Linked DNA regions of Mus musculus. The protein of the gene in region 2 binds, or shares a complex with, the protein of the main gene of each other region. Links are inferred from orthologs where the notes say so. Each region holds a gene or a part of one and is shown on either strand. Other genes may lie near its edges. The genes, in order: Med16, Med19, Med7, Med21, Med18, Med31 and Med26.

Region 1 (4,147 bases), on a different chromosome or scaffold from region 2:
TCCTCTCCTCCTCCTTCTCCCCTCTCCTTATGCCAGGGGTCCAGGACTTCCAGCCAGAAGCCTCTGACCTTGTGTTCCCTGTCCCCTCCCCTGTCCCCTCTGCTGCTCAGCATAGCTGTGGTCACTGCAGAGGTCTTATATGTTCAGCAGGCCTGGCCCTCCTTCCCTTCCCCTTCTGTGTGATTCTTTGAGCTTGGGGGAAAGGGACGATTTTAATAAAGCCTTGGTGCTCGAGTCCTGTCCCCGTGTTTGTCTTTAGGTTTGGTGGGGGTGGGTGAGACTGGGAGATCACTGAGGGCACGAGCTAGCAAGCTGGACACGGGGGAACCTCAAAGTCTCTATAACATTAGTTCATTTTACAACATGTAAAATGCTTAAAGATGAGGTGCCAGGTTGGGGTTCGATGGGGAAAGCAATTGGTTAGCATGCTCAAAGCCCTGGGTTCCATCCCCAGCACCATTTAAACCACATGGTGACCAGTGACAAGTGATTTTGAGGCCAGCCTGGGCCATGTGGTAGACAGGTCTCATTGTTGGACACCTCTGAATCCTAGCACTCAGGAGCCAGAGGCTGATGGATCTCTGTGAGTTCAAGGCCAGCTAGTCTACATAGCCAGGGCCATACAGTGAGACCCTGCCTCAAACAACAGTCACTTGAGGGCCAGCAAAATGGTTAAGCACGTTAAGGTGCTTGCCGCCAAGCTTGATGATCTGAGAGCAAGAACCAACTCCTTGTCCTCTTACGTGCACTGTGGAAGGCACACTTATACACACACACACACACTCACACAGGAGCCCGTGGCTTGGTGGTACACCTCTGTCATCCCAGTAGGTAGGTAGAGGCAGTCACTGGAGAACCTCATCAGTGTCAGGCCAACCTGAGCTATACAGTGAGCAACGAGCTCTGCTGTCAAGAAACAAAATAGAAAAAACGTGAGTGAGCCTCCAATAGGATGTTAGGGTGCTTGTCAGTTCCTCTGAGGAACAAAATATGGAACGCTTCACGAATTTGCGTGTCATCCTTGCGCAGGGGCCATGCTAATCTTCTCTGTATCGTTCCAATTTTAGTATATGTGCTGCCGAAGCGAGCACAAACAAGGCTTTTCTCCAAGGGATATTTATAGTCTCAAAACACACAATTACTTTACAGTTAGGGTGAGTTTCCTTTTGTGCTGTTTTTTAAAATAATAATTTAGTATTTGTATCTCTTATAGAAATCCAAGCCTATCATGTAAAATGTAGCTAGTATTAAAAAGAACAGATTATCTGTCTTTTATCGCACATTAAGCCTCTATAGTTACTAGGAAATATTATATGCAAATTAACCGGGGCAGGGGAGTAGCCGAGCTTCTCCCACAAGTCTGTGCGAGGGGGCCGGCGCGGGCCTAGAGATGGCGGCGTCGGATCCCGGGCGTTGGGGCGAGTGTGGACCGCGGCCGCCGGGCCGACTGGGCGCCCGGGGCGGACAGGTTAGTACGGCGTGCGGGGTACGGGACTCGTGGCTGGTGCGTTTCAGGCTAAAACCGCGAGCGGAAGGCCGAGGGGCGGGGCTTGCGGGGTCAGAGGGCGGGCCTGGGAACAAAGCTTGCTGGGTAGAGGCCGTTGTGGGAGGGATGTGAATAGGGGGAGCCTAAGGCGACGGGGTTGAGGAGGGGGCGTGGTCCGAGGGGCTGAGCCTCCCTGGGAGGGGCGTGGCCTGAGTTCAGAAGTTGGATGGAGGGGCAGAGTCTGAAGAAATAAGACTGATAGAGAGGGATGTGGCCTAGGGAGCGGAGTCTAAGGTGGGCCGGGGTTGGGGGTGCTAAAGATCTGAGATCGATGCAGAGAGGTGACCTAGTAGTCACAAGCTGAGCAGAAACTGAGGCTGAATTTACCAGTTTGGTTTGGAGGCGGAGCCTAGGGTGATTAGACAATGTGGGTGGAGCTTAACGAGCTTGGGCGGGAGGTGGTGGAGGTGTGTGTGTTAAGACTCAGGATTTAGCCGGGTGTGGTGGTTCACGCCTTTAATCCCAGCATTTGGGAGGCAGAGGCTGCGGATTTCTGAGTTCGAGGCCAGCCTGGTCTACAACGTGAGTTCCAGGACAGCCAGAGCTATACAGAGAAACCCTGTCTCGAAAAACCAAAAAGAAAAAAAAAAAGACTCAGGCTTTTTGCCAGGCGCACGCCTTTAATCCCAGCACTTGGGAGGCAGAGGCAGGCGGATTTCAGAGTTCGAGGCCAGCCTGGTCTACAGAGTGAGTTCCAGGAGAGCCAGGGCTACACAGAGAAACCCTGTCTCAAAAAAAAAAAAACAAAAAAAGGCTCAGAATTTGAGCCTTGGATGTTAACTTGTTGAGAGTATTGTGTGGCATGGGCTGCTGCGGGGTCTAAGCTACTAGGTCCCAGGCAAGGCTTGGAGACTGAACTAGAGTGTAGACTGAGGCCCAGACTGAAGTGGTAGGGGTGGGCCCGGTTGTGTGTGTGGAGGGTGCTTAGCGTTTGTAGGCTGAGCTCAGGCTGATCTGGGTTGCCTAGGGAGGAGTGACCCCAGGCGGGGCATCATGGATTTTATAGCAGGGCTCTCGCTGGAGAACATTCTAGACACCCTTTAGCTGGGAGCTGCTATAGAGCACTGCCTCCCTTTTCCCCAGGAGCCAGGGACCGTGCTGGGTGCGGTGGGTATGATGGACCTGGCCTATGTGTGCGAATGGGAGAAGTGGGCCAAGAGCACGTACTGCCCGTCGCTGCCCCTGGCTTGTGCCTGGTCCTGCAGGAACCTCATTGCCTTCACCACAGACCTACGCAATGATGACCAGGGTGAGTGCTGGCTCTCCTTACCTGGCTAGGACCTGGGGATCAAGACCATGTGGGTGGGCTTGCCAGGTGTGGCTCCACTGTGCCTCAGATCTGGAAGGCTCGTGGTGGCAGAGCCAGACACTCTGATGCCAGTTAGAGGGTTTTGAGAGGCCAGGGAAAGCAAGGTGGGAGAAGAGACATACATACACTGCTCACCATCTTCCAACAATGTTAAGACATGTGGCTGCACAGGATGCCCTGTCCAGGGACTAGCAGCATGGCGGAGCTTATAGGAGAGGTGCACTGTGGGTGGGGACACAGGCACTTCGAGCTACACTGACCTCAGTGTTCTTTTTCCACTGCAGATCTGACACACATGATCCATATCCTAGACACGGAACACCCCTGGGAAGTGCACTCTGTCAGCTCTGGCCACAGCGAGGCCATCACCTGCCTGGAGTGGGACCAGTCAGGTGAGGCCAGGGGGTGTGCTCTCAGTCCAGAGCCTGGCGACAGCCACCACCCGCTGGGAGTCCAGAGTGGGGGGAAGGCCCCTGACACAGCTCTCTGGTCGCAGGGTCCCGGCTACTGTCTGCTGATGCTGATGGACAGATCAAATGCTGGAGCATGGCTGACCACCTGGCCAACAGCTGGGAGAGCTCGGTGGGCAGCCAGGTGGAGGGGGACCCCATCGTGGCCCTGTCCTGGCTGCACAACGGTGTAAAGCTGGCCCTGCATGTGGAGAAGGTGAGCGTACCACTGGGGGACCTAGGGGTAGGTGGATGGAACCACAAGTGTGCAGCTCCCGTGCTCACTGCCAATTGCTGTGGGATACCTGTCAGTACCTGCCATCCCTGAGCGCCCCTGACCCTGAAGCTCCCCTTTAGCTATGTTCCCTCCCTGTACAGTGAATCTGTTTAACAGATATCTCGTGTCTGCAGTGGAGTCTTAAAATGGCTGCTATCTCCAACAAGTTGCCTTTGTAACCAGCCAGTGACTGCTGTTCTCAGATTCCAGTCCACTTTGATTTAATGACAACCCAGAATCCCCCTGGCCGTCTGCATCCAGAGTTCAGCCAGTTAGAAGTGGGAGCAGAGTTAGACTCGGGGCCTCTGGGAGTCCTTTTTACTCAGTAATGGAGGGAAAGGGGCAGCCTGTGAGGAAGGAGGCACAGCACAGCCTCCGTTCTGTGGTTGCTGCAGGTCTGTGGGGCCAGCAGCTTCCACATTGCCCGCCTCTCACCCAGTACAAAAGGCTGGGCCTGGTGTCACAGCCCAACCCCAGTACTCACGAGGCAGACAGCTCTCTCTGAGCTCAAGGCTAGCCTGGTCGACATATCCAGTTCCAGGGCAGCCAGGGCTACACAGTGATAC
Region 2 (4,250 bases):
ACTAATCTTCCATGCAAAATTTCTAATGTATCCAGATGGATCTTGCGGGACCAGAGGGTCTGCAGCAGATCTAATTATCTTCTGGGTAGAAAACAGCAACAAAACTGTAACACAGCTAGGCAGTGGTGGCACTTTTAATTCCAGCACTTGGGAGGCAGAGGCAGGCCAATTTCTGAGTTTGAGGCCAGCCTGGTCTACAGAGTGAGTTCCAGGACAGCCAGGGTTACACAGAGAAACCCTGTCTCGAAAAACAAAAAACAACAAACAAACAAAAAACTGTAACACTATTTCCTTTGAGAAAACAACTTTCTAATTTTGTTTACCTATATAAATTCTTCAGTGTTTAGTTCAAATGACATCTTATTCTTGCTGTCATTTTGGCTAACACATTTTGAAAACTATCAGGTAGTTTTTAACATTGCTTCCTGTGTTGAACTATAAATAAATAAGACTGACACCCACAAAATATAAGCACAATCCTTAAACCATGTATTTTGGATCTCAAAAAATAGGCTACCTAAAAACTAGGCTTAATAATCTTCACTTCTCGGGGCTGGTGAGATAGCTCAGTGGTTAAGAGTGCCGACTGCTCTTCCGAAGGTCCCGAGTTCAAATCCTAGCAACCACATGGTGGCTCACAACCATCCATAACGAAATCTGATGCCCTCTCTGGAGTGTCTGAAGATAGTTACAGTGTACTTACATATAATAAATAAATAAATCATATATATATGTATATAATCTTTACTTCTCATAATCCCACCATACCTTGGATATTCAGTACTTATCAACTGATCTATTAATGGTATAATTAGAACAGGTAATGCAAAAGATAAACTGCTGGAAGAAGCTGGGCATGATGGTACATACTTGAAGGTAGAGGCAAGTGGATCTCTGTGAGTTCAAGGCCAGCCTAGTCTACAATGAATTTGAGACAAGCCAGGCTTACTGAGTGAGACCATGTCTCAAAAACCCAGTAAGATGGGCTGGAGAGCTGGCTTAGTGGTTAAGTGCATCAACTGCTCTTCCAGAGGTCCTGAGTTCAATTCCCAGAAACCACCTGGTGGCTCACAAGCATCTGTAATGGGATCTGATGCCTCCTTCTGGTGTGTCCATAGAGAGCAATGGTGTAGTCATATACATATCTTTAAAAAAAACAAAAAACAACTAAAATAAGGAAAAAGAAAACTGCCTTAACAGTCATTTCTTTATGCTTCAGTTCTCAATTAAAAAATACAGACAATACCTATCTATCTAAAAGGACTATAGTAAGTATTACATATTGTTACACACTGCACTGATGTGAACTTCAAACTATTTTGCTAATAAATACTGGGATAACTGAGGTTTTTATTTCTTTTTTGAAGCAGGATCTCATGTCTCCTAGGCTGGGCTTGAACTATAGCTCCTTCTGCCTTCACCTCCTGAGTGCTGGTATGGAGTACTACAAGTTCCCCAAGACTTAACATGTCCAGAACGCCTCTTAAGTTTTAGCTCTTCAAATTTTTTCTTTCCATGCCTTCCTAGTCTCAGACTACTGTACCCTTTGTACAGGACACTCACAATTCCTCTCTCTGTGTATATTTAGTTCTTTATTTCTGTAGGCTTTACCTTTAACATGTATCCTGTATTCATTTGCTTCCCGACCACTAAGCCCTGGTCCAAACCATTCCTTTTCTGAACACTGACTGGCAACTTCTGATTATCCTATTTTCATTTTTCATGTTTCTGCTGGATATCTAAAAATCACTAAATTAGATCATTTTGCACCTATATTGAAATGACTTCAATTTGAACTTTAAACAACCTACCTTGCCTTATAAAAGCCTCTACCTATTTCCCATCACTACTGGATTTTTTCCGCTTTCCTGAGTCCAATGTGTCTTCTGCCCCTCAGATATTCTAAGCCCCGCCCCCCAAGGTCTCCTGATTTAGTTTCTTGTACCTAGTATCTCCTCTCTATCCAAACAGGGATGGCTTTGTTTATTCTTGAATGCTACCTACTCAGAAATGATTCTGTGAACGCGACGCCTTTTGCAAGGCAGGCAAGAGTTCTACCACTGAGCCACGCCCCCCACCACCACAATTTCCCCGAATAATTTTATGAAAGTAAGAATTGATTCAATTCTAATCCTTTCTTTGAACAGGTTAATCTCCGAGTCCCTGACAAGGAAGGCAACTTGCTACAAACCAACAAGTTTGTGACAGACTTTAAACTAAAATCTTAAGTGTCTCCAGAAATGTTAAATCGGGTCTCCCGAGTTCTAAACAACGGCTCACGTTTTTATAGAGTCACAAACGGCAGTCAGAGAACCCGGATCACAGAACTTCTCGCTGAAGGTTGTCCCAGATATTCACACCCAACCCAAACCCACCCCAGAAAATCAAGTTATCCCTTAGGGTTGTGAATCGCCAAAGGGCTTCTGACACTGTTGCCCACTGGCCCCGCGTAGCCCTGTTATCTCACACCTAGCGGGACAGGCTAGCCACACCCTCACCTGAACTACAATCTGAGTGGCTACTCTTGGCCTACTACTCACCTGGCAATTCCCGCATCAGGTAGAAGGGGCCACTTCCAGCCGTCGACTTATCCGCTCCTGCGGGGGCCGAGGTTGCCGTCGAGGGCGGGGCTGCGCCTGGACCACCTCCCGGAGGAGGAGGGGGTGGCGGGGGTGGCTTTCCAGGCCCAAAGCCTAGGGCGCTTGGTGGCGGTGGGGGGTCAGTCTGAGCTCCAAACAGTGCCGTGAAGTTCTCCATAGCACTCTGCGCTCCTGGTTACCCGGGATCGGGCGTTAATTACTTTGATTGGACAGTACTTTCACAGGGTACCACCCTCTTCGTCTAAGAGTGTCCCATCATTGGATACATTAAGCCCCGCCTACCATCTTCCGGCAACTTACTTCCGTCGCCTGAGAGACTGGTTAGGAAGGTGGTTCGCAGACTAATAGCCAATAAAATGACTCAGTTAGAAAAGCGACAACGATGAGGACCAATAGACTATTTAATTCATTTTCTGATCTATTATAGCATCCAATAAGAGATCTACATCCGGGTCTGGAGGCGTTGCATCTGATATTTGGTCCAATAGAAGCCTTGCTGGTGGGGGCGGAGGACGAAGATTTGGGGAGCGGGAGTGAGCCTGCGAGAGAGTAGGCAGGAAAGATGGCTGTCCTTGCGCCTCTGATTGCTTTGGTGTACTCGGTGCCGCGGCTTTCTCGATGGCTGGCCCGACCTTATTGCCTTCTGTCTGCTCTGCTTTCCATTGCTTTCCTCCTCGTGAGGAAACTGCCACCGATTTGCAATGGTCTCCCCACGCAACGCGAAGATGGCAACCCGTGTGACTTTGACTGGGTGAGCGCCCCCTGCCTTACCAGCTCTCGACCTTGACCATCCCTGCCCTGCAGGTGCATGTGAAAATCTGGGAGCAGGTTTCGGGATGTAGCCGCCTTACAGACTGAGTGCAGAGCCTAGGCCGTTATCTAGTCATAACCTCCGTGTTTAAGATGGAGAAACAGATTACAGGGTTTCCATCACAGATGAACAGTATTCTACAGTGATTCCAAGCTACCTGGGGCGCCAGTGAAGAAAAGGCCAATAGTAGAAATACCATTAAATTTTTTTTGTTTAATTTTTAACGAAGTGATCACAGTGTAGTTAGGCGATTTCCCAAGGAAACGCAGCGTTCAGAAAGTGCTGTCTAACCTTATTCAATTCTCTGATAGACTGGCAGACGAAGGTCGCTGACTCAACAAAATAAATGACTTGGATGGAAAATCGAATACTCTGGGCATAGTAACTATGCACACTATCTTCCTGCGGTGGGATAGAAAAACAGGGAAGATTACAAAAATATGAGGTGTGGGGAGGGAGGCCCCTCAACCATCTAAGAAGCAGTATGTAAGAACAATTAACATTTGCCGTAAAGGTTGTGGACATAGAGCTAATAAATACCTATACAGGTATTTATGCTAAAATAGCAATGACCAGGACTTAAGGCCTAAAGGTATTGATATAACCTTGGGCAGGCCTCACATGTTCTGGGACTCTCAAATAAGATTAACTTTGTTTACATTAAAGATACAGTACTGTTGCCAGGCTTTGTGTTGTACCCTTTTGATCCCAGCTCTCTGGAGACAGAGGCAGGTGGACTTCTTTAAGATTGATGTAAGCCTGGTCTATATAGGATTTCTAGATCCATCAGGACTACATAGTTAGACACTAACTCAAAATGAAAGAGCACAACAGATACT
Region 3 (4,167 bases), on a different chromosome or scaffold from region 2:
TGCCCAGATAAAAGGACATGAAGAAAGGAAACTGCTCTTTGGTTGCTTGCTCTAACACTCACTGGCAACTTCATCTGTACCACTGCTGTGCCATTCCTTTGCCAGTATTAGAACCAAACTTCTTTGGGATTCCAACATGGACTGAAGACCTGTGGCTCTCCAGGAATCTTCCAGGTCTCCAATGCCAGGTGGGGGTCTGTTGAGACATCCAGCCTCTTAGACTGAGCAACTACAGGATTCTCAGCCTTTCAGGGCTGAGACAGCCATTGCTGGACTACTTGAACTGCATCTTGTAAGTCACTCGGATAAGTCATATATACATATATATCCATGTGCATACACACATTCATTCTATCAGTGTAATAACCCCTAGTACACTTTCAGTAAGATAATAAATCTGTGGGTATAGGAAAAAACGAAGAGCCCTTACCTTTTAGAGGTTCATACCAGACTAGAGACAAAATGATGGGGCTCATATAACTATGGAAGTTGGTAGTGAGTAGACTCTTCTTTTGTTTTTATGCCTGCAATGCTCCACATATTTAAAGGAAGAAACTGAGACATTCTTGTTTGTGAAGCAGAGCTGTTTATCTTACTTTTAGTTTGCAACACTGCATCTTACGACTCCCATATCATCTGTTAACAACTCTTCTCTCTCTCCTCCCTCCCCCTCCTCCTCTCCCTCAGGGAAAGGCCAAAATGGAAATATTTCTTGCTAGTCCTGATGGCTCATTTCTATACCTCTGGCTTTCCAGAGGCTGGGAAGAGACATCTGAAGCCAGCCTGGGCTACACAGTGAAATTACCCACTCCCTCCATTTTAAAAAATTATATTAAGTTTTTTTCACTTGTCAATTTGTGGAAGGATTGTTATAGACATCTTTGAATTCCTAAATGAAAATAAAAGTGAATGGAAGGGGGAAAATGAAGGTTTAGGATGTTATTCTTAATCATGTTCACAAATATCTCCATATATATGAATATATCATAGAGTACAATCTTGCTTTTAAAAAACATTTTTGATGATTACATTAGTATAATTTTTAAATATATTGCTTATCTGTATTTTCTGACTTTTACATAAGGCAAGTATTTAATTTTAAAAGTCTCGTATAAAAGTGGGGGCTGCAAGGAATGGAATTACTAGAGAGTACTTTCTTCTACTAACAAAAAGTACGAAGAAGTATTCTCCTGACCTGACCAAGAAACCAGACAGCGGATCTTTCCCGAGAGAAGCAGGAGATGCGAAAGTGCGCATGTGCAACATCTTTAGGGCGGGAGTAGGACCTGCTATAGGACAGCCTTGGTAGCCAATGAGAGGCCCGCGTCAGAGGCTTCTTCCTGAGAAGGCAACCGGAACTTGTGCTTCCGCTGCGCTGAGGAAAAGTCACTACCGGAAAAGCAAGAAAGAGCTGAGGTGAGCGGGCGGCGGCGGTTGGCGACCGCAGCCTAAGTCTGTCTCTCCGCCCCCGCGGTTGCGTCTCTCCCGGCGTGGAGCGCCGAAGTCCGGCGCGGGACAGCCTGGGACGCCCGGGCTAGCCTTCCTCCCGGTTCCTCCGCGAAGCCTCCCCGGGGCCTGAGGCAGGCGGCCGGCCGAAGGTACACCGAGTACCGCTCTCTCCGGACGACAAGCCAGACGGGAGGTTGGGAGGTCCGAGTTCTCGTCCCCACGCCACGGGCTTTTATAATGTCGTGGTCTTAGCCTGCCCTGTCGCCATTGGTAAAGTGACAGTAGCCGCCTGGGAGCGCGGGGGCTGGGGGAGGGGAGCGAGAGCCTGGGTCGGAGCCGGATTCATCCTGTACCAGACTTTCCGCGGGGACCCAGTCACGGGGACAAAGTGAGCCAAGTGTCTGAGCTTGCGGACCCCCCCCCTCCCAAAAAAAAAAGCACCCACGAGACACTGGATCTTGTTAGTGTTAGCGAGTCACGACCTCCAGCGGCTTTGAAAAGTTCAGTTTGAACCGGTAATGGGCGGTTTCTGTAAGGTGGCCCGCTCTAACGCGGGATGCCCAAGTTACGGGGGTTTGCACTTGCGCCCGAAAAAACTAATGCGGATTCCCGTTGTACAATTCACCCCCTTCTGCACGTTGGGAATTGGCTTCTTGTCTCTATAGTCAAATTGGGAGTAGTCGTACCGTCCTGATGATTGGAGTGAGGATGCGGATCTGTCACTTACTAAAAACCTTCGGGAAACTGCGGGTTTAGTGTGGGTGTGGCTAAGGGAAGCGCAGATCCCCAACTTCAAAAGCCTTCGGGGGATGAAATTTAGGCCAGGTGTTGACTTGAAGTGGCTACAAGTAGACTTTCGTGTTCTAGGTATATACACCCTGAATTAGCTCTAACAGTTAGACAATCTGAAGAATTTGGAGTTGCTTCCCTCAGATTTAAGGTATTGGCAGTGTACATCAGTGTGAGAAAGCACTCAAGAATCTTCTCATTGTATAATGTACTTAAATTGGAAAAAGCAAAGGTTATTTTGACCATATATGTTGGGATTTAGGTTTTAAATTTATGTAGAAAAGATGTAAAAATTGCTAATGTGTTAAGAAAACTGTACTATACTAACTCTACTATACTGTAAGATGTGGCTTCCTTCAGAAACCTTGGAAAATATTTGAAATATGAAATTTAACAACGGTGTTTTGTTATAGTTGTTTGTTTGTTTGTTTTTTTGAGACAGAATTTCTCTGCGTAGCCTTGGCTGTCCTGGAACTCACTCTGTAGACCAGGCTGGCCTCGAACTCAGAAATTCACCTGCCTCTGCCTCCCAAGTGCTGGGATTAAAGGCGTGCGCCACCACTGCCCAGCAACAATGGTGATTTTTGTCAAGATGTAAAGAGAGTTTTAAGTGTTTGGGTTTGGAGACCACTGTACAGTAAAAAGGAAAGTGAACGACATGAGATTAATAGATACCATATGTAGTTTGATTATGGGAAAGAATAATAAATAAGGCATATGACATTTGCATATAAATGTTCTTTTCCAGAGTAGGTTCCAACATATGCCTACCAAAAGGAGTCAGACATGAAAAAATAGTATATCATGTACCATATAAAAGCACCCTAAATACAGACCCTTTTTCCTTAGTTCTCAGAATATGTTTGTTCTTTGAGAATTTTATACACACACACACAAACACACATGTGTTTTGATCATACCCGCTTCCACACTCCTCTAATACCTCACAGACCACTACCATATCTTACTCCCACTTTTATATATTTTAAAAATATTTACTTAGTTTTTAAAGATGGATCTTTAGCACCGGCTGGCCCAGCCTCACTGTGTAGTCCAAACTGGCCTTGAACTTAGAGCTATCGAGCTTCTCAGTCACAGGGACTACAGCATGACCCATCATGACTACAGCGGGAACCATCATGCCCAGTTTAGGTCTTTTTAAAAAAATGTTTAAAAATAACAGTAAATAAAGTCCTCTGCCAAACCTGTGGTGGACTCTGCTGCTTGTTTTTCCACTTTGTATGCTTTACATTTGTCAGATTACCTAGAATATGTGAGTCCTTAGTGCTAGCATCCTTTTCTAAACAAGCAGAGCAGATCTTACTTCACCATCACGTGAAGTCTGGCAGGCAGCAAGAGTGCTCTTTAACAGGTGAGAAAGACTTGAAGAGATCAAAAAAATAGTAGGGTTTCTAAGTGATACTGTTTTGTGTTCTCAGAATTTCCTTCATAGACAAAGTTTGCATATCTCGACTTGGGTGTATAGTTAGAGATATTAGGGCAACAAGGCTCTCACTTCTGTTATCTTCACTGCAATAAACATAACAATTCAGCATTTTTAAGTCTGATTCAGTTAAACAAACTATCTGATAAAAACCTGCAGTCGTGGGTGAATACAGTTAAGAGTCAGGACACAGCAGGCCGTAGGACCAGAGCAGTATTGTGAAGAAGTCATGGTACCTGGGAGTCAGTGACTAAGTAGTTTAAACGGTGATTCTGCAGTAAAAATGACCTTGCCATTGTCCACTGTGAGTTACAGAACCTGTCTTTACACTTGAATGTTAGAATCATAATTGTGGTGCTATCACAAAGTAGACAAAGGGCAAACCTTTTGGAAGGCAGAGTCTTTGGTGTGCAACTTTCTGTACCTTCCTTGCTCTATCCCATTAGCCTAACAAGGAAGTTTTTTTGTTTTTTGTTCTCCCCCCC
Region 4 (4,060 bases), on a different chromosome or scaffold from region 2:
CTGGGATCCTGAATACCCAGTATAGTCGATGGCTGGCTAATCATGACTATCTGTTGGCTTAAACCACATCTGAGGAGTCTTCTCTGGTGGATACCTCCCAACCTCCTCATCTGTTATGTCCTCCTCTGTTAGGATTCACCAAGAAGGCTCTCTCACGATGACAGTCCACCTTGATAGTGGACTTCCCAGCCTCCAGAACACTGTAGGGAGTAAACGTTCTTTGTAATTGCTTGTCTGTGCTATTCAGTTGTAGCAACAAAAAACAGGCTCACATACCCACCCACCTCCAACTCCAGAAATGATCATCTTGGAAACTATGATAAACAGTTTGTCTGAGTTCCACAAACCAGGTATTTGCAGATTCAGGACTCACTTCCCATCAGAATATCCCCAGGCTAACAGAAATGACCTTTCTGCTATCACCCTTCACACGGAAAACTGTCAGGAAGCCCCAGTTCTAAATTTACATTCTGAAGCTGATCTTTCTTAAGATCGAACCTGCCTAGACCGGGCGTGGTGGCGCACACCTTTAATCCCAGCACTTGGAAGGCAGAGGCAGGCAGATTTCTGCGTTCGAGGCCAGCCTGGTCTACAGAGTTTGCACCTCCTACCTTCAAATGCTCTTCTTCCTCCTTTTCACTTTACTTATCACCCGTTCCTCATCACAGAGCTGTTTAATGCTTTCCATTTCCCCCAGGCACTCCCACTCAGAATTAAAGCACTAATCTAGTCTCCAGTTGGGTAAGCACCTCCTGCCCCAAACTAATTAGCCACCCTTTTCTAGCCATTTTGATTTCCTGGAGAATGTTAATTTCTCGAATTTAAATGTTGTGAATGGCGGGCTGCGAGTATGCTTTGTGGTATACCTGCAAAGTAAAAGCAAAGGAAAACAAGTGTTCCAGATAAACAAAACAAAGAAACGAACGAACAAAAACAAAACCCCTCACAAACAAAACACATTCCAGGCCAGCCAGGACTACACCGTGAGGCATAGCCTCGTCAGAGCTAACAGACAGAATGGAGGAAGCACCTTCCCTTCACAGGCTCGGTCCAGCGTAAACGCGAACCCGTAGCAGCTCAGCCTGCACGCGTCCCTCCTCCCCCACACCAGCCCTGGATCCCACCCGCCTGACGTCAGCAGGCCCGCAGGCTGGCCCCGCCCCTCCCCGGCAGCATGCTTCCTTAACCACGCCCCTCAAGGAGGAAGGCCTGTGATTGGTCCGGAGGCGTCATAAATTGGCCAATCGCTCGCGCTCTAGCAGCTTTTGCGCACCCTTGCGTGCGTGGTGAACATGGCGGATAGACTCACTCAGCTGCAGGACGCTGTGAACTCGGTGAGGGCTTTCCTCTGCTCGCCAGCCTTGCTTTCCTGACGCGGAGAGAGGAGGAAGGGGCGAGGCAAGGCCCCGGGGAGCGCGCAGATTGAGGTCGCCGCGGGCGGCGCACCCCGTGAGGCCTGGGTCTCACGTAGTCCACAGGGCGGGGTCTGAGGAGACGGGCCTGTCCTGAGGGGAGACCGGGCCGGGCGGCTTGTCCTGAGGGGAGGCGGGACCCGGGGGCCTGTCCTGAGGGGAGGTCGGAGCCGCCAGTCTCTCCTAAGGGAGGTGGGACCCGGGGGTCTCTCCTGAGAGGATGTGGGACCTGCCAGTCTCTCCTGAGAGCCATGGGACCCGGGGCCTCTGGTGAGGTGCGAACTTGAGGAAGGGAACGAGTGGCCGCTAATAAGGAGGGGACCCGACGACGGCCTCTCCTGAGGAGACTCAAGGTCTGCGGCCAGGTAGCCAGGAAGCGAGTACTCAAGTTCCAGGGATGCTTCTAGAACTTCCTTTGTGGGGCAGCACACGCCTAAGCACTTTTGTGTGTATCCCTCCCTCGCGTTTCAATTTCAACCTGCCAAACGGATTTCTCCTGTGATTCCACCTCTGAGGCTGAGACAGGAGGATTGCAGCGAGCTCCGGGCCAGCCTGAGCTCCAGTTTGATAGCCCATCTCAGAAAACAAAACACAAAAGACCACAACAAAGTGTTGAGTGTTTGTAGGTTGGTGTATGAGTGACCAGGGCGTGAGCTTGCCTTGCTTTCTGTAGGCCTTCACTCCTCCCTCCGCTCTTGGCGACTCCAGCACCAATGGTTGGAGAGTAACGTCTAGAAGAGGCCAGATCCTGGCCTCTCCGTTTCTTTGCATTTGTTTAAGTCTGCTTTACGATCTTCCCTAAGAGGCTCTTATAGGTGGAGTGAAGCTCTTACAGCACAGTACCACAGAACAGTGAATGTACACAAGAGGGATTTTTGTTTTGTTTTGAGATGGTCTCACTGTGTAGCTCTGGCTGACCTGCACACTGTGGAGACCAGATTGGCGTTAAAAACAAAAAAAAAAAACAGCCCAGTAATCAAAATCTACAACAAAAGCTCCTGAAAACTGCTAGCTTCTCTAACTTTGTCGCCTCTGGCTGTTATTCTGGCTTAATTGTACATGAATGGAAAACTAAATACTGAGCCTGGAATGGTGACCCACATCTTTAATTCCTGTAATCCCAGCACTTGGGAGGCAGAGGCAGGCGGATTTCTGAATTCAAGGCCACCTGGTCTACAGAGTGAGTTCCAGGAGAGCCAGGGCTACACAGAGAAACCCTGTCTCGAAAAAAAAAAACCAAACCAAAACAACAACAACAAAAATAGTGCAACAGTTTTCCATTGGTAATTAAAATCTCTTAGTGTCATTCTGGTTGTAGTTTGATGTAGAAGAGCCTACACAGTATATGCCTGCTGAAAAAAAAAATCTAAATACCTAGTTCTCTGGACAGTGTTTTTTAAACAGGAATGTTATAACAAGGCTTCTTGGTAATTCATCATTTTTGAGAGTACATTGAAATTGTGTATCTACTAGTGGGAAGACTAGTCTATTCTGTGTAAATAAAGTAGTTTTAAAGTTGAGGGGCTATCTCTTAAATGTTGATGAAGTCACCAAGGTACATTCTGTTTTGCAAAGATTCCCTGGGCTGCCAGCCAACCTCTCCCAAGAAAATACTTTTGTAATTTTACAAGTCTTTCTTGTTTTAATTTAAATTTTTTTGGTTTTACAAATCTTAATAATGCTGTGTAGAAGCTCATCTCCTAAGTATGCATATTCATGTAGGTCCTATAGTTAGGATGTTAAGGATACGATATAGTCTTAGGAGTACTGATAATTGAGTTAATATGTATGCCTACTGTGTCTACAGGGAATGTGTTTACAAAGAACTATTCTAGGAGCTTAGAAAGATGTCATAAACTCAAGAGACTTTTAGATGATGCAAACAAACCCCATATGTGGCTAGGGAGTTACAGTGGATTGTTTTCAGCTCTTAAGAGCTAAAGTAGATTGGAACACAGAGCAATATTAACATTTGTTCTGCCATCTGGAAACTCCATGTTCATTTCTATAATATATACAGTACTTGTCATGGAGTTGGTTTTTCAATAAATATTTTTGAACAGATTAATAATGGGTCTTGAATGAATTTACAAGACAGAACACTAGCTGCTGTATTGAGTAAGCTTCATTTATATTTTTCTTTCTTATGACAGTGCTGCTAAATAGAACACTGCAACTTAGAAAGCCAACCAGGTTAGCTTTTCAATGACAATTCAGAATTTTACATTGAAATAATGACAGCAAAACAATAGAAATGTTTATTGATTGGAAATACTAAATGAGGCTTCAGGGGTTAGGACTAGTGAGAACATATGTTTAGTTTGTGAATGGTGTGAACTTATATTCTCAAATTACTTAAATGCAATGCTTTTTAGTTTTGCTTCTTTTGAGGCAGAATCTTATGTAACTCTGGCTGGCCTAGAACTGTCCACATACTCCAGGATGGCCTCAAACTGACAGATCTGAGTGCCTCTGTCTCTGCCTCTCTTATGCTGAGATCCATCATGCCCCAAAAACAAACAAATTTAAGCAACAAGGTTACAACTTGAATCTTGAAGAATACATTTCTGATAATTTACAGTTTAAAAAAATTTTTGTTTTTCATGTAGTACAAACTGGCCTCAAACTCCCTTACATAGTTGAGGATG
Region 5 (4,154 bases), on a different chromosome or scaffold from region 2:
GGGAACCAGGTACCCTTGCCTGAGGTAGTGACCTTTGGGGAAATGTTAAGGAGGGAGGGGTCCTGAAAGATTAAGGGTGCCTCACTCTATGTCCCTTATGTGTTTGGCATATGTACAGAGTTCAATAAGTACTTGTTGAATTTAAAATCCTTATCTATCTATCTATCTATCTATCTATCTATCTATCTATCTAATGTATATGTGTGCCTAGATATATGTGTACCATGTATGTCCTTTAGCATGGATGCCAGATGAGGGTGTCAGATCCCTTGGAACTAGAGTGGCAGGTGGTTGTGAGTCACATGATATGGGTGTTAGGGCTGAACCCAGGTCCTCTGAATAACAGCAAGTGCTCTAAACTGCTTAGCCATCTTCCCAGCCCCTAGTTATTTATTTATATTTTGTGTTATGAGTGTTTTTGCAAGTGTGTATGCATGTCTACCACACGGATGCAGTGACTGATGTAGTCAGACAAGGTAATAGAGCCCCTGGAAAGGAAATTATAAATGGTTGTTAGCCACTATGTGGGAGTTTGGGACCTCTGAGAGAGCAGCAGGGGCTATTAACTGCTCAGCCATCTCTCTAGCCCTTATTAATTAACTTATTTATTTATTTATTTATTTATTTATTTATTAAAAACCTCACAATATTGTTTAAGCGTTGAATGGCTCTGCTGGAGAGATCCTTACCACAGCTTCCCAAGGTTCTCAGATTTGAACTGTGCCTGGTCCCATGTATTTAAAGTTATGGTATGCACTGTAAATTGAACAAGTTTGCTGTTGTTTTGTATTAAACTTATGGCCTTGCACATGTCAGACAAGGCTCTAGCACTGAGCTGTTTCTCCAGACCCTTGAAAGCACACAAAATATTGTTCCTGCTGAGGTCTATATATAAATACACAACGCTGTGGTTAGCGTTTCCGATTTACAACATACCCCTTCCTTTTCTTTTTCTTTAATTTAATTTTTAACTTATTCATTTTACATCTCTTTCACTGCCAGCCCCGCCACCTCCGCCTCCCTTCTTTTTCAATGTGACTCTCCTTCCTCGCTCCCCCCAGTGGCTGAGTTCAAAATTTAAATATGGTATCCAATCGGCTTTATGAGATCTGATCAAAACATCCAGGTCGTCGAAGCTGAAAAAAAAAAAAAAAAAAAAAAAAACGTATCCTAGAGCTGTCCTATGACAGTCACCTTCCACGGTACCACTCTAGACTAGGACCCCAAAGCAACAGCAGCCCCGAACCTTGCGCGTGCGCTCTTGCACACCGGTGCCAGAAGGCGGGCGCGTTCCTTGCCCTCTCGGCACCCTTACTTTTCGGGGCGGTAGCGGAGAAGTTTCCTGTCCCTCAGCTTCCTACCGGAAGTGCTGAAGGGAGAGTTTGGCGGTTTCTCTGGCTCTGCGCTGGCGGCATTTGGGGGTGCGGATTGCGGGTGTGCACGCGTGGATTTAATTCCAGCTTTACAAGGATCTGTAGCGCGGACGGAGACGTGTTGCTAGTGTAAGTGCACACGTGTCCCGGCTGCCCGCGTGGGAGGACCGGGACAGTCACTCTAACTTCATATTTCCCGCCTGGCTCATTTGCAGAGGCGTTCTCATAAAGGCAGAACCAGTTCTAGTTACATCGCTCGTGTGCCCTGGGGCCTTTCCCTGAGTCTGCATGGCCTCCGCATAGAGTGAAGGGTGGACAAGGTCCTTAGGTCTCCCTCGGATCTTTTCTTTTGTTTTTTCTTTGAGACAGTCTCACTGTGATGCCCTAATTGGCCGGGATTTGCTATATAGACCAGTCTAGCCCGAAGCTGCAGCCGTCCTTCTAACTCTGTCCCCAAGTATTGAGATTACAGATGTTCCCCCCAACACAGCCGGTTTTTATTTCTTTATGTTTGGAAACGAGGCCTCTCAGTGTAGCCCAGTGTAGTTACCATTTTTGAATATGAATGTCGGTTTCTTTCGAGCCAGGTAGTGGGTGGGGGAGACGAGGGCTGTGGGGTTAAACACCCTTGGTCTTATTTTAAACGAGACAGTAGGTTTCGGAACAAGAGGTTACATAGCTGCCTCGAGATTACATAGAAAAACGTTTATAAGGTTCAGAACTTGATACTAGATGGCTATTCCGTATCTCCGGAGCTAGAACCCCTCTTATTCCCGAGTCACCCGTTCTTGGAACCGGCTGTATAAGCAGATGTGCAAAGTTAAGACTGAATGAGCTTTGGTTTCAAGGCCACTGCCGCAGCAAACAGGGTATGGACAAGTGTGACTTTTCCAGGTGGATCCTGTGCTTCTCCGGTTGGAAGATCTGTTTGCAGTTCTGTTGTCTTGAACCTAATTAGAGGCATCATGGAGGCGCCTCCAGTCACCATGATGCCCGTCACTGGGGGCACCATTAACATGATGGAGTACCTCCTGCAGGGTAAGTCAGCCAAGGAGCTTGTGTTACCAAGTTTTCAGTTTTTTCTGGCTAGAGCAAGTTGAGATGACTTATAGGCAACTGTAGGGTTCCTGTAACTGTGTTTAAAAGAGGGTGGGTGGGAAGATGGCTCAATGGCCAGAAACTCACTCTGTAGACCCTTCTGGCTGCAGGGGCCTGGGATTATAGATATTTACCACTATTGTCCTATTGTCTGTTCTCTCTCTCTCTCTCCCTCTCTCCCTCTCTCTCTCCCTCCCTCCCTTGCTCTTTCTTTCTTTCTTTCTTTCTTTCCTCTATTTTTGTTTGTCTCCGTATAGTTCTCGCTGTCTATAGACCAGGCTGGCCTCGAACTCAGAATTCAGAGGTCCATCTGCTCTGTCTCCCAAGTGCTTGGGATTAAAGGCACAAGCCACCACTGCATGACTTTCATTTTTTTTTTTTTTTCATCTTGAAAAATTAAAACTCAGGCCCGAGGAGAAGGCCCAGCCGTTAAAAGCACTGGCTGCTTCTTGGTTCAATTCCCAGCACCTACATGGCAGCTCACAACTGTGTGTAACTCCAGTTGCAGAGAATTTGATGCCCTAGTCTGGTCTCCATGGATTCAGGCATACAGGTAGTTCACAGATGAGCTTGCAGGCAAAACACTCCTTCTTACACATAAAATTTAAAAACAAAAAACAAGAACAAAACAAAACAAACCAAAAAAACCTCATACCGAGTCTCCCTCTCACCTCTCCACTGTGTTTCCTACCTTAGCTGCTTAGATGCCCCACATGAGTGAGGTCCCCAACTGGCTTATTTCTCCTAGCATTATATCCTTGATAAAGTCATGTCCTATGACAGAATTTATATTGTTTTTGTTGTTTGGAAGCAGTACTAAGGAGCCCAGGCTGATTAATTTTTTTCAAGTATGATTAAAATGATTCTTTTAGATTTTTAAATCTTATTTTATCTGTATGAGTGTCTTGCCTGCATGTGTGGGAGTCAGAGGTCAGACAAGTATGTCCAGTTCCCTGAAAAGGAGTCGTGGACGATTATGAGCCACCGTGTGGGTGCTGGTGGACACCGAACCCAGGTCCAGCACTCTTAGCTGCTGAGCCTCCTCTCAAACCCCCAGGCTGACCTCTAACTGGCTGGGTGTCCAGGAGCAGTGTTAACCTCTGATCTTCGGGCCTGAGCCTAACTGTGTGCATGCGCTGTGCATGCTGACTGGGCTGTGTCTGTTGTTGAGTTAGCATTGTTATTTCATAGTTCATTCATTTCGGTACGTGTCTTAGCTTTTTGTTGCTCCACGGCCTCCATTTTAAATGTGTATATGAGCACATCACAGTGCCCTCACCTCTCCTAGTACAGTTGGGCTGGGCATCTGGTCTCCTTCTCATTTTTGGTTACAAAGAAAACAGCTGATACAGGTCAGGGGACATGTGGTGGTTTTATCTTTATATTTATTTTTGGAGCTTCAGTTTTTTTAATTGTTTTTTTTTTTTTTTAAGATTTTTTTGTTTTGTTTTTGTTTTTGTTTTTCGGTTTTTCGAGACAGGGTTTCTCTGTGCAGTCCTGGCTGTCCTGAAACTCACTCTGTAAACCAGGCTGGCCTCTAACTCCAACTCGGAAATCCACCTGCCTCTGTCTCCCAAGTGCTGGGATTAAAGGCATGCACCACCCCTGCCCAGCTTTTTTTAAGATTTTAAAATACCATTTTTAGTTCTCTGTGCATGTGTTTCAGGGGATGGTACATGCATG
Region 6 (4,300 bases), on a different chromosome or scaffold from region 2:
TTCTTTTGATGATCTCAGAATAAAATTCAAGCTCTTTACTGTAATCCCAGAAGATTTCCAAGACTCTATATGAAGTGGCATCTTCCTCCTTTTTGTTTTCTTCCTTATACCACGCTCTCATATACTAACTGATCTTTCTCTTACATAAACATCTTTGATTTTTAAAAAAAATGTAGACTTTCCCTTCTGTCTAGAATGCACTTCCCTCTAGATCCTGATATGGCTCACTGTCCACTCACACAAATCTCGGACCAAATGTAATCAGCAAGGCTTTCCCTGACCATATTCTCTAAAGAGTTCCCTACTCTCTACCACAAGACAGACAGCCTTTCCTTCGCGGGAATACAACAGCATGTTGTCTTACTTTCCCCTTTGTTGCATGTCTCTTCATTAGAGGAAGATCCTAGTCTTTTCCACTGCTCTAGCTGCCATGCTCTAACTACTACCTAGCATGCAGTAATACTCAGTTACCATCCTGTCAATCTCACGCCTCAGGCCAAGTGTCATGGCTTCTTCTTTACTTTCCCTTCCAAGATTATTAATGGTTTTATTGATTGTTTATTAATTGTCCTGTTTTTTCCTATACCCCCTGATTTAATTTTTTAAGTGTGGGTGGAATACTATGTATGACAACATGAGAAAATGTATAATGAAATATAAGTATTAATAAAGGCCAATTAATAATGTATGAAAGATGATACCTTGCCCTGTAGGTTTCAAGCAGGTATATGATCAGGCCAGCGGTCAAGAATCATGACAAGTTTGGCCCCTCTTTGCAAATTTCAAGTCGTCAACACATCCTAGAGTGACCTAAGACTATAAAACTTACCTGGTGTAGAGACTCAAAGAATCTCATTGTCCATCAGCCAGGTTTATACTGCACTACCAGTCTGAAACCTTCTGTGCTGGCTTCAAGTTAATAGCACACTGGGGTCAACAACAGGATGGTCTAAGGTGCTGCAATGTCAATACATGTTAACAGCCCCCAGAAACCACAGCCTGTTTCTTACACTGATTTATGGGTTCTTTCCATGAAACCAAAGATGCTCGGTTCTCCTGGAAGATGGCTGGCTGGCAACTCTTCAGTCCTGGCTAAGGACCTTTGGCACTTCATCGAGCCATTCTGGCACTCTGCCTGGCTGGGCTCTCAACACGGTGCACAGTAGTCTCCACCCTCAGGGATGACGACGCCCTGACGTGGCGGGAGGACGTTTCCGTGCACTGCGAGGAGGTTTCCACGTGCTGGGAGGACACCTCAAGGAACTGAGGGAGTCGCTTCGTGGAGGGGGTGAGGGAGGGCCCCTCTCGGTGGCGCTGGGAGGTCTCCACCTGCCGGGAAGACGTTCGAACCTGCCGGGAGGACGTCTCCACGCGGTGGGATGACGTTTCCTCGCGGTGGGACGACGTCTCCACGCGGACAGTCGATGTCTCCTTGTGGCGGGTGCTTTCCACTCGCGGGGCGGAGGACTTGCTCCTAAGGGGCGAGGCCATCCTGCCCATACACCTTGGTCAGGTGGGACAAAGAGGCCCAAGGATCATGCTCTGCGTCACGTCACACAGGGAAAGGTGACGTCAGGGTGGTGTATTACGTCGGGGTAGGTAGCAGGACTCTGAGACCTAAAAAATGAGAAGTCCTCCGGCACGCCCCGCTCGATATCTGCGCGCGCAGCCGGCCGGGTCTGCACAGATAGGTGGGGCTAATTTTCCCATAAGTGAGGTTGTCCCCGCCCTCGTGTCCCACTCTGCCCCGCGACCGGAAGTAGGAGCCGTGGCTTCCGGATTCTCACCAATCGAAGTCGCGGTTCGGTCGGGGCTGGTGGTGTTCGCCTCACTCTGATTGTTATGGCCGCGGCCGTCGCTATGGAGACAGGTACGTTGTGACTTGCACCCCGAGTCTTCACCCCAAGGGAATGGTCCTACGCCCCGAAATTCCCTCCCTTTTCCCTTTTCCTGCGCTGTCTTTCGGGTTCAACTTGGCATCCTTAGAGTTGGGACCGGCGGAGGAGAAGGCTGTGCTGCTTCTCAGACTATGGTCTGTGAAAACATCTTTGCTCCTGGGTTGCTCAAACCCCTACTCCAACCCTGGCTCTTGGGGCCGTGCAGGGCCGTGGGAGAGGACTGAGACCTTCCACTGTCTGTGCTGAAGGTACTCCCAAGAACTTGCCCGAAATATCGATAACCTGTGTATTCTAATGCGGACACCGCCTTCTCTCCATTGTTTAATCACTTTGCATCATGCTTCGGTTTTGTGTAGCACATTGATTTTGCTTAACGTAATCACAGTTGATAGTTGTGGTTATAACAACTTAGGGAACCGCACAGCTATTACAGACTGTCCAGTGATCTCCGCTAACAAAGTGGCCTGCAGGTGGTAAATTCCCATTCAACTTATTTTTTCCTCAATTAACTTTAAAGGATTTCTTTACTATTTTTTGTTTTACTATTTTTGTTTTGGAAACAGGGCCTCATTACTTAGTGAATATATATATATATATATATATATATATATATATATACACACACACACACACACATATATACACACACGCATATACATATATCTTTAATTTCTAAGAAAGTCTCTTCTGCACTTTGATATTTGTCTTTTCTCCTAGATGATGCTGGAAATCGGCTTCGGTTTCAGTTGGAGTTGGAATTTGTGCAATGTTTAGCCAACCCAAACTACCTTAATTGTAAGTTAAGTACATCACTAACTTAAGCAACTAGCTCTTAATTTCTGAGAAGAGATGCAGTTTGTAATACTATTTATTACTTCGATGTGTTTGAATGGGATTTTATTTGTTCTGGTCTGTAAGTTAACTGGGCAAACAAAGGCTTGTGTTTTTAATTCCTTGTGTTCTGTTGGTAGGGATGTTAAGAGCTACTTTGTTTTAGAGATTACTAATCAGTAGTCCAGCGGTTGGTTGACATACGGATTGTTTCTTTGTGTCTTTCAGTTCTTGCCCAAAGAGGTTACTTCAAAGACAAAGCTTTTGTTAATTATCTTAAGTATTTGCTTTACTGGAAAGAACCAGAATATGCCAAATATCTAAAGTAAGTTTAATTTTTATAATCCTAAATCTGTGTATACTTTATCATAAATACAAAGTGCTGATACTGAGCAGTTTTCTCTGTGTGGGAATGGAAAATGATATTTTGAATCTTTCTGCTTTTAGTTAATGTAAGATACTGTCATCTGTAACTTAGATTATTTTAGGAATTGCATTTATTTCTGCTACCATTCTTACCTCACTCCCTTCAAACAGAACCAAACAACTGTCTTCATGGGAGCCAGCTTACTCTCTAAGTAATATAAGCCAGAACACACCACTTCTGTTCATGCAGGCTAGCTAAGATCCAGTCAACTGGTTTCAGACTATAGTTCTAATGTAATTTGGTGTCTAACCTTGTCACTTAGCACTGCCCTTGTCTTTCTGGATTTTTAATGCCTACCAAACTATAATCTAGGAAGGTAGGAAGTATTGTTTTCTGGGAGTTTTAGAGGTACTGCCCTTCTTTATAGTGAGTGTTCTTTGTTTCGAGCACTGTGCTAAATGTATTGTACACATTAACTCACTGTAAAAGAACAAACACGGACACTATCAAACTCAATAGCTTTGACTTAAAAAAAAAAAAAGAAGAAGAAGAAGCTGGCACACACCTTTAATCCCAACATTTGGGAGGCAGAGGTGGGCACATGAATTCAAGGCCAGCTTAGTCTACAGAGCTACTTCCAGGGCAGCAAGCTCTACACAGGTAAGCCCTGTCTAGATGTGCCTCTCAAAGGAGGAGACAACAGAAAAACCAGAAGTTTAGCCTGGCATCCCTTTAATCCCAGCTCTCAAGAAACAGAGTCAGGTAGATCTCTATGAGTTTGAGGCCAGCCTGGTTATGTAGCAAATTTCAGGCCAATCAGGTCCACACAGAGAGACTCTTTTTTGTTTTGTTTTGTTTTGTTTTGTTTTTCGAGACAGGGTTTCTCTGTGTAGCCCTGACTGTCCTGGAACTCACTTTGTAGACCAGGCTGGCCTTGAACTCAGAAATATGCTTACCTCTGCCTCCCAAGTGCTGGGACTAAAGGTGTGCGCCACCACTGCCCGGCAGAGACTCTAATTTTAAAAATGAGAGTAAAACATTTCAAAAATTTCTTTTTATCCTCGTTACCTTCCTGACTTGATTTGCTGCCTGTAGATTTGCTCTTCATGATGCAATTATAGATTCCTTTAGGAATCCAAATGATAGACTTGAAGTTATATTAGAAGATATAAAATGTTACATGCTAGCAAATTTTCAGACCGGA
Region 7 (3,500 bases), on a different chromosome or scaffold from region 2:
ATTGGGGCTTGGGCAAATTCCTTTCATCAAGGACTGCTGGGTCAGGAGTATGTGGGGACCCAGGGCTCTAAATATACCAGAGTGAGGTCACTAGATGGAGATGAAGCCATGGAGCTCAGGAGCCCAGTGGCACCAAGATCCCAGGCCAGGGAACACTTGATTTATCTTCTCTTAGGAATGATCTCCTCATTGCACACTCTTTGCATGGAATCCCTGCCCATCCCATTTCAGAGGTGAGTACGACAGCCATGTCTCTAGGTAGGCCACCCATCCATGGGGCAGCAGGACCAATGTTGTAATCTGGATGTGTTTACAGCCCCAGCCCCAGAGGAAATATCACATGTGGAAGGCCTTGTTCCCAAGGAAGGGCCTGCCTTGTTGACAGAGGGATGGCTTAGTGAAAGCTGTGCGACAGTACAAGGGCTGCTGACTGCTCTCTTCTCAGTACAGCTTCTCTCCCAGGAGGCAGAGCCCTGAAGCAAGAGAGACATGGTGACTGCCTTCCGCTGGAAATGGACAGACTAGAAAAGCTGGGGGATACCCATGGCCTATAGGCTATCTACCTCCTAGTCTGGAAACCAACCTAGGCCTGGTACCTTACCTGACAAGACATGGCTAAGGTGCGGACAGGAACAATTCTGGGCTATACATGATCAGGATTCTGGGGCTGGTATTGAAGGTAGGTAGAGGGCTGGGAACACAGGGACATGATGTACTCCTGAAGCTAGGAGCAGCATTTTAGGTGACAGCCAGTAAGAAAATTGGGACCTGGACTTGAATTCTGTTGGTATCTCTCTGAGTATGGATCATCCCCAAGAACCTCCAGTAAGGAGGCAGCTCTCTGGCCCTAGGCTATGGGTAGGTGAGACAATCAAAACATGAAGGGATTCAGCCAACATAGATCAGGGCAGCAGCAGGAAACCTGAAGGTCGATCTTCTGGTCACTAGGTTGCTTGTGGTATGTCACATGGAACAACCTCCTGGGGGCTACTAGCTGACACCTCCTCCCAAGTGCTGGAGCTGGGCGGTTCCTCATGAACAGTCGGTAGGGTTGCAGACTATTTTTCCATGTTACCCAGTGTGGCAGGTGATATCATCATACCCTTTCGACATGTGGCACAAAGATAGAGAGGACTTAGGGCTATGGACAATCAGCTTTGTTGGTATTCTGTCTAAACTCCACCCCCACAGTTCCTGACTGCTTGTCAACCTAGAACCTGCAGTGCCATGTTACTCTGCCCTGTGCTCTGAACTCCTCAGGAACATCTATCATCCCACAACTGCAGATCCTCTCCTGCAACCATTTTAGAGCTTACTTTCAACTTCCATGTTTCTGTCTGGGGTTCATTGAAGTAGTTTCCCATGTACATGTGTATGGAATACATGTGTGCACATGCATAAAGGGCAGCTCAAGTTGGTGCAGGGAATCATCACTCACTCCTCCGCCTGATCACTGAGACAGGGTCTCTCAATCAAACCTGGAGCTCACCAATATGGCTAGTCTCACTAGCCATATATATACATCTTACAGTTTGTGACATCTTGCTTTGTCCCCTCTTGCTCTGGAAACTCCTCTTCACCCACCCCCCCCCACTCATGCTTTGCTACTGTGTGTGGCTGTGCTGCTGGGATGTCCAGTCACATCAGTCATAGCTTTTTAGTCCTACTCTTTCCAGAATGACAATCCTGGCACCTGCCCAGTGGAAAGGCTGGCTTAGAGTGGGATCCCATATGTGAGCCTGTAGATCATTAGCTTCCTGTCACCATGAAGCTCAGCACTAGTCCTCACCCTGCTTGTTGTGTACAGAGCCTCTTAGTGTCTCGGGCCTTCTCTCATCTGGTTTCATGGGGCTGCATTATTGCTCAGGTGGTGTTCCAGAGGCCCTCCTAGCCATGTGACATACAGATCTTATAGTTTGTGACATCTTGCTTTCTTGAGAGTCTCTATGAAGACCTTGATACAGTCATCGGGTTCACTGGTTATTGTGCCTATCTTTCCTTTCCTTTTCTCTGAGGCTTTGTGTTTTATGTGGTATGTCCTTCAGCAGAGCACCCTGATGGCAGTGGGGTGTGCCTGCATATGGGTAATGCTGAACCCTGGGAAAGGGTAATAGGGATTTTGGTAGTGCTGGTATCTTGCAGGGCCCTAGGCTGCTGGGCTTTCCATGGGAGAAGGCAGAGCCCTGAGCTGATACATGGTTCTTTTTCTTCAGATCCGGAACATGGTGGCAGTGTTGGAAGTGATCTCCAGTCTGGAGAGATACCCCATCACCAAAGAGGCACTGGAGGTAAGAGCCCTTGCCCCTACCCTGGGCATAATGGGAGGTAAAGGTAGCCCCAGACAGCTTTTCTTCCTGTGGGTTAGGCTCTTACTCAACTCTCCAAGAATGGAGGCTTCTAATCTCACAACTGGGCTCCTTCCTGAACTGTGCTTTAGACAACTGGTTAGTGGTACTGCCCTCTCTTTGGGTAGGAAGTCTTAGGCTGTATAATGTGCTCACCCAGACATCCTGGTAGGGCCACCCACGGTTATATTTGTGGTCTTGATAGCACCTGAGTCTACAGGCACCTGGAACCGGTAGACCTGTTTCTGAGAAAGCCATTGAGTCCCAGATCTAAAGATTCATTGCTGCCACAGTGCTGGACATACCCAAACTATATCCAAGACGCTGGCCCCTTGTAAAAGTATGTCACTCTCTTGTAGGAGACACGACTAGGGAAGCTCATCAATGATGTCCGCAAGAAAACCAAGAATGAGGAGCTGGCCAAGCGGGCCAAGAGGCTGCTACGAAGCTGGCAGAAGCTCATCGAGCCTGTACACCAGAACGAAGTGGCACTACGGGCACTGGCAGGAGCTGCAGGCTCTGCCAATGGGGGTGCGCACAACTGCCGACCAGAGATGGGAGTGGCTGGTGCACCCAAGAGCATCCATGACCTGAAGAATCGCAACGACATCCAAAGGCTCCCTGGGCAACGGCTAGATAGGCTGGGCAGCCGTAAGCGCAGGGGGGACCAGCGTGACCTGGGCCACCCAGGGCCACCCCACAAAGTTTCCAAAGGCAGTCCTGACCCTCTGGTTCCCAATGCATCCCCTCTCCCCACCAATGGGATCAGCGGGAGCCCAGAGAGCTTACCCAGCCCCCTGGATGGCAGTGGGCACTTGGGCCCTGATGGCAGCCGCCTGGAGCCCAGTGATAATGAGAAGCACAGCACCAAGATTCCCGTGAACGCCGTGCGGCCGCGCCCCAGCTCTCCCGGCTTGGGCAAACCCCCAGTTCCCTGCCTGCAGACCAAGGCTGCACAGTTGCAGCAGTTGGACAGGGCAGATGAGTCCCCAGGCCCTCCCTATCCCAGGGGGTCCTCTCGCTGCTCCTTCAGCCCCCGGAACTCACGGCACGAAGGCTCCTTTTCACGGCATCGGAGCTCTTACATACCCAAGGGCCAGGTGTCCAGCCCTTCCCCATGGCCCCAGCCACCGGACAACACGCAGGTACCATCCC

Evidence for each region.
Region 1: Med19 (region 2) and Med16 share a complex: the UniProt entries of both Homo sapiens proteins name them as parts of the mediator complex. The link is inferred for Mus musculus from reciprocal best matches to the Homo sapiens genes MED19 and MED16.
Region 3: Med19 (region 2) and Med7 share a complex: the UniProt entries of both Homo sapiens proteins name them as parts of the mediator complex. The link is inferred for Mus musculus from reciprocal best matches to the Homo sapiens genes MED19 and MED7.
Region 4: Med19 (region 2) and Med21 share a complex: the UniProt entries of both Homo sapiens proteins name them as parts of the mediator complex. The link is inferred for Mus musculus from reciprocal best matches to the Homo sapiens genes MED19 and MED21.
Region 5: Med19 (region 2) and Med18 share a complex: the UniProt entries of both Homo sapiens proteins name them as parts of the mediator complex. The link is inferred for Mus musculus from reciprocal best matches to the Homo sapiens genes MED19 and MED18.
Region 6: Med19 (region 2) and Med31 share a complex: the UniProt entries of both Homo sapiens proteins name them as parts of the mediator complex. The link is inferred for Mus musculus from reciprocal best matches to the Homo sapiens genes MED19 and MED31.
Region 7: Med19 (region 2) and Med26 share a complex: the UniProt entries of both Homo sapiens proteins name them as parts of the mediator complex. The link is inferred for Mus musculus from reciprocal best matches to the Homo sapiens genes MED19 and MED26.

Annotation. Positions count from the first base shown.
Region 1 is NC_000076.6:79,906,139-79,910,285, reverse strand, and holds the start of Med16 (mediator of RNA polymerase II transcription subunit 16), read left to right. Parts: upstream 1-1,347; 5' UTR 1,348-1,390; coding exon 1,391-1,468; intron 1,469-1,695; exon of another isoform or gene 1,696-1,780; intron 1,781-1,949; exon of another isoform or gene 1,950-2,068; intron 2,069-2,629; coding exon 2,630-2,795; intron 2,796-3,139; coding exon 3,140-3,247; intron 3,248-3,351; coding exon 3,352-3,521; intron 3,522-4,147. UniProt on the Homo sapiens protein: Component of the Mediator complex, a coactivator involved in the regulated transcription of nearly all RNA polymerase II-dependent genes.
Region 2 is NC_000068.7:84,676,952-84,681,201, reverse strand, and holds the start of Med19 (mediator of RNA polymerase II transcription subunit 19), read right to left. Parts: upstream 2,801-4,250; 5' UTR 2,758-2,800; coding exon 2,541-2,757; exon of another isoform or gene 2,374-2,540; intron 1-2,373. Other genes in the region: Tmx2 (thioredoxin-related transmembrane protein 2 isoform a precursor), read left to right, coding at 3,163-3,351. UniProt on the Homo sapiens protein: Component of the Mediator complex, a coactivator involved in the regulated transcription of nearly all RNA polymerase II-dependent genes.
Region 3 is NC_000077.6:46,435,594-46,439,760, forward strand, and holds the start of Med7 (mediator of RNA polymerase II transcription subunit 7), read left to right. Parts: upstream 1-1,367; 5' UTR 1,368-1,598; exon of another isoform or gene 1,599-1,719; intron 1,720-4,167. UniProt on the Homo sapiens protein: Component of the Mediator complex, a coactivator involved in the regulated transcription of nearly all RNA polymerase II-dependent genes.
Region 4 is NC_000072.6:146,641,319-146,645,378, forward strand, and holds the start of Med21 (mediator of RNA polymerase II transcription subunit 21), read left to right. Parts: upstream 1-1,260; 5' UTR 1,261-1,292; coding exon 1,293-1,334; intron 1,335-4,060. UniProt on the Homo sapiens protein: Component of the Mediator complex, a coactivator involved in the regulated transcription of nearly all RNA polymerase II-dependent genes.
Region 5 is NC_000070.6:132,461,122-132,465,275, reverse strand, and holds the start of Med18 (mediator of RNA polymerase II transcription subunit 18), read left to right. Parts: upstream 1-1,354; 5' UTR 1,355-1,502; intron 1,503-2,267; 5' UTR 2,268-2,338; coding exon 2,339-2,411; intron 2,412-4,154. UniProt on the Homo sapiens protein: Component of the Mediator complex, a coactivator involved in the regulated transcription of nearly all RNA polymerase II-dependent genes.
Region 6 is NC_000077.6:72,212,531-72,216,830, reverse strand, and holds the start of Med31 (mediator of RNA polymerase II transcription subunit 31), read left to right. Parts: upstream 1-1,500; 5' UTR 1,501-1,842; coding exon 1,843-1,870; intron 1,871-2,615; coding exon 2,616-2,693; intron 2,694-2,957; coding exon 2,958-3,054; intron 3,055-4,300. Other genes in the region: 4930563E22Rik (uncharacterized protein C17orf100 homolog), read right to left, coding at 1,111-1,500. UniProt on the Homo sapiens protein: Component of the Mediator complex, a coactivator involved in the regulated transcription of nearly all RNA polymerase II-dependent genes.
Region 7 is NC_000074.6:72,496,311-72,499,810, reverse strand, and holds part of Med26 (mediator of RNA polymerase II transcription subunit 26), read left to right. Parts: intron 1-2,213; coding exon 2,214-2,288; intron 2,289-2,704; coding exon 2,705-3,500. UniProt on the Homo sapiens protein: Component of the Mediator complex, a coactivator involved in the regulated transcription of nearly all RNA polymerase II-dependent genes.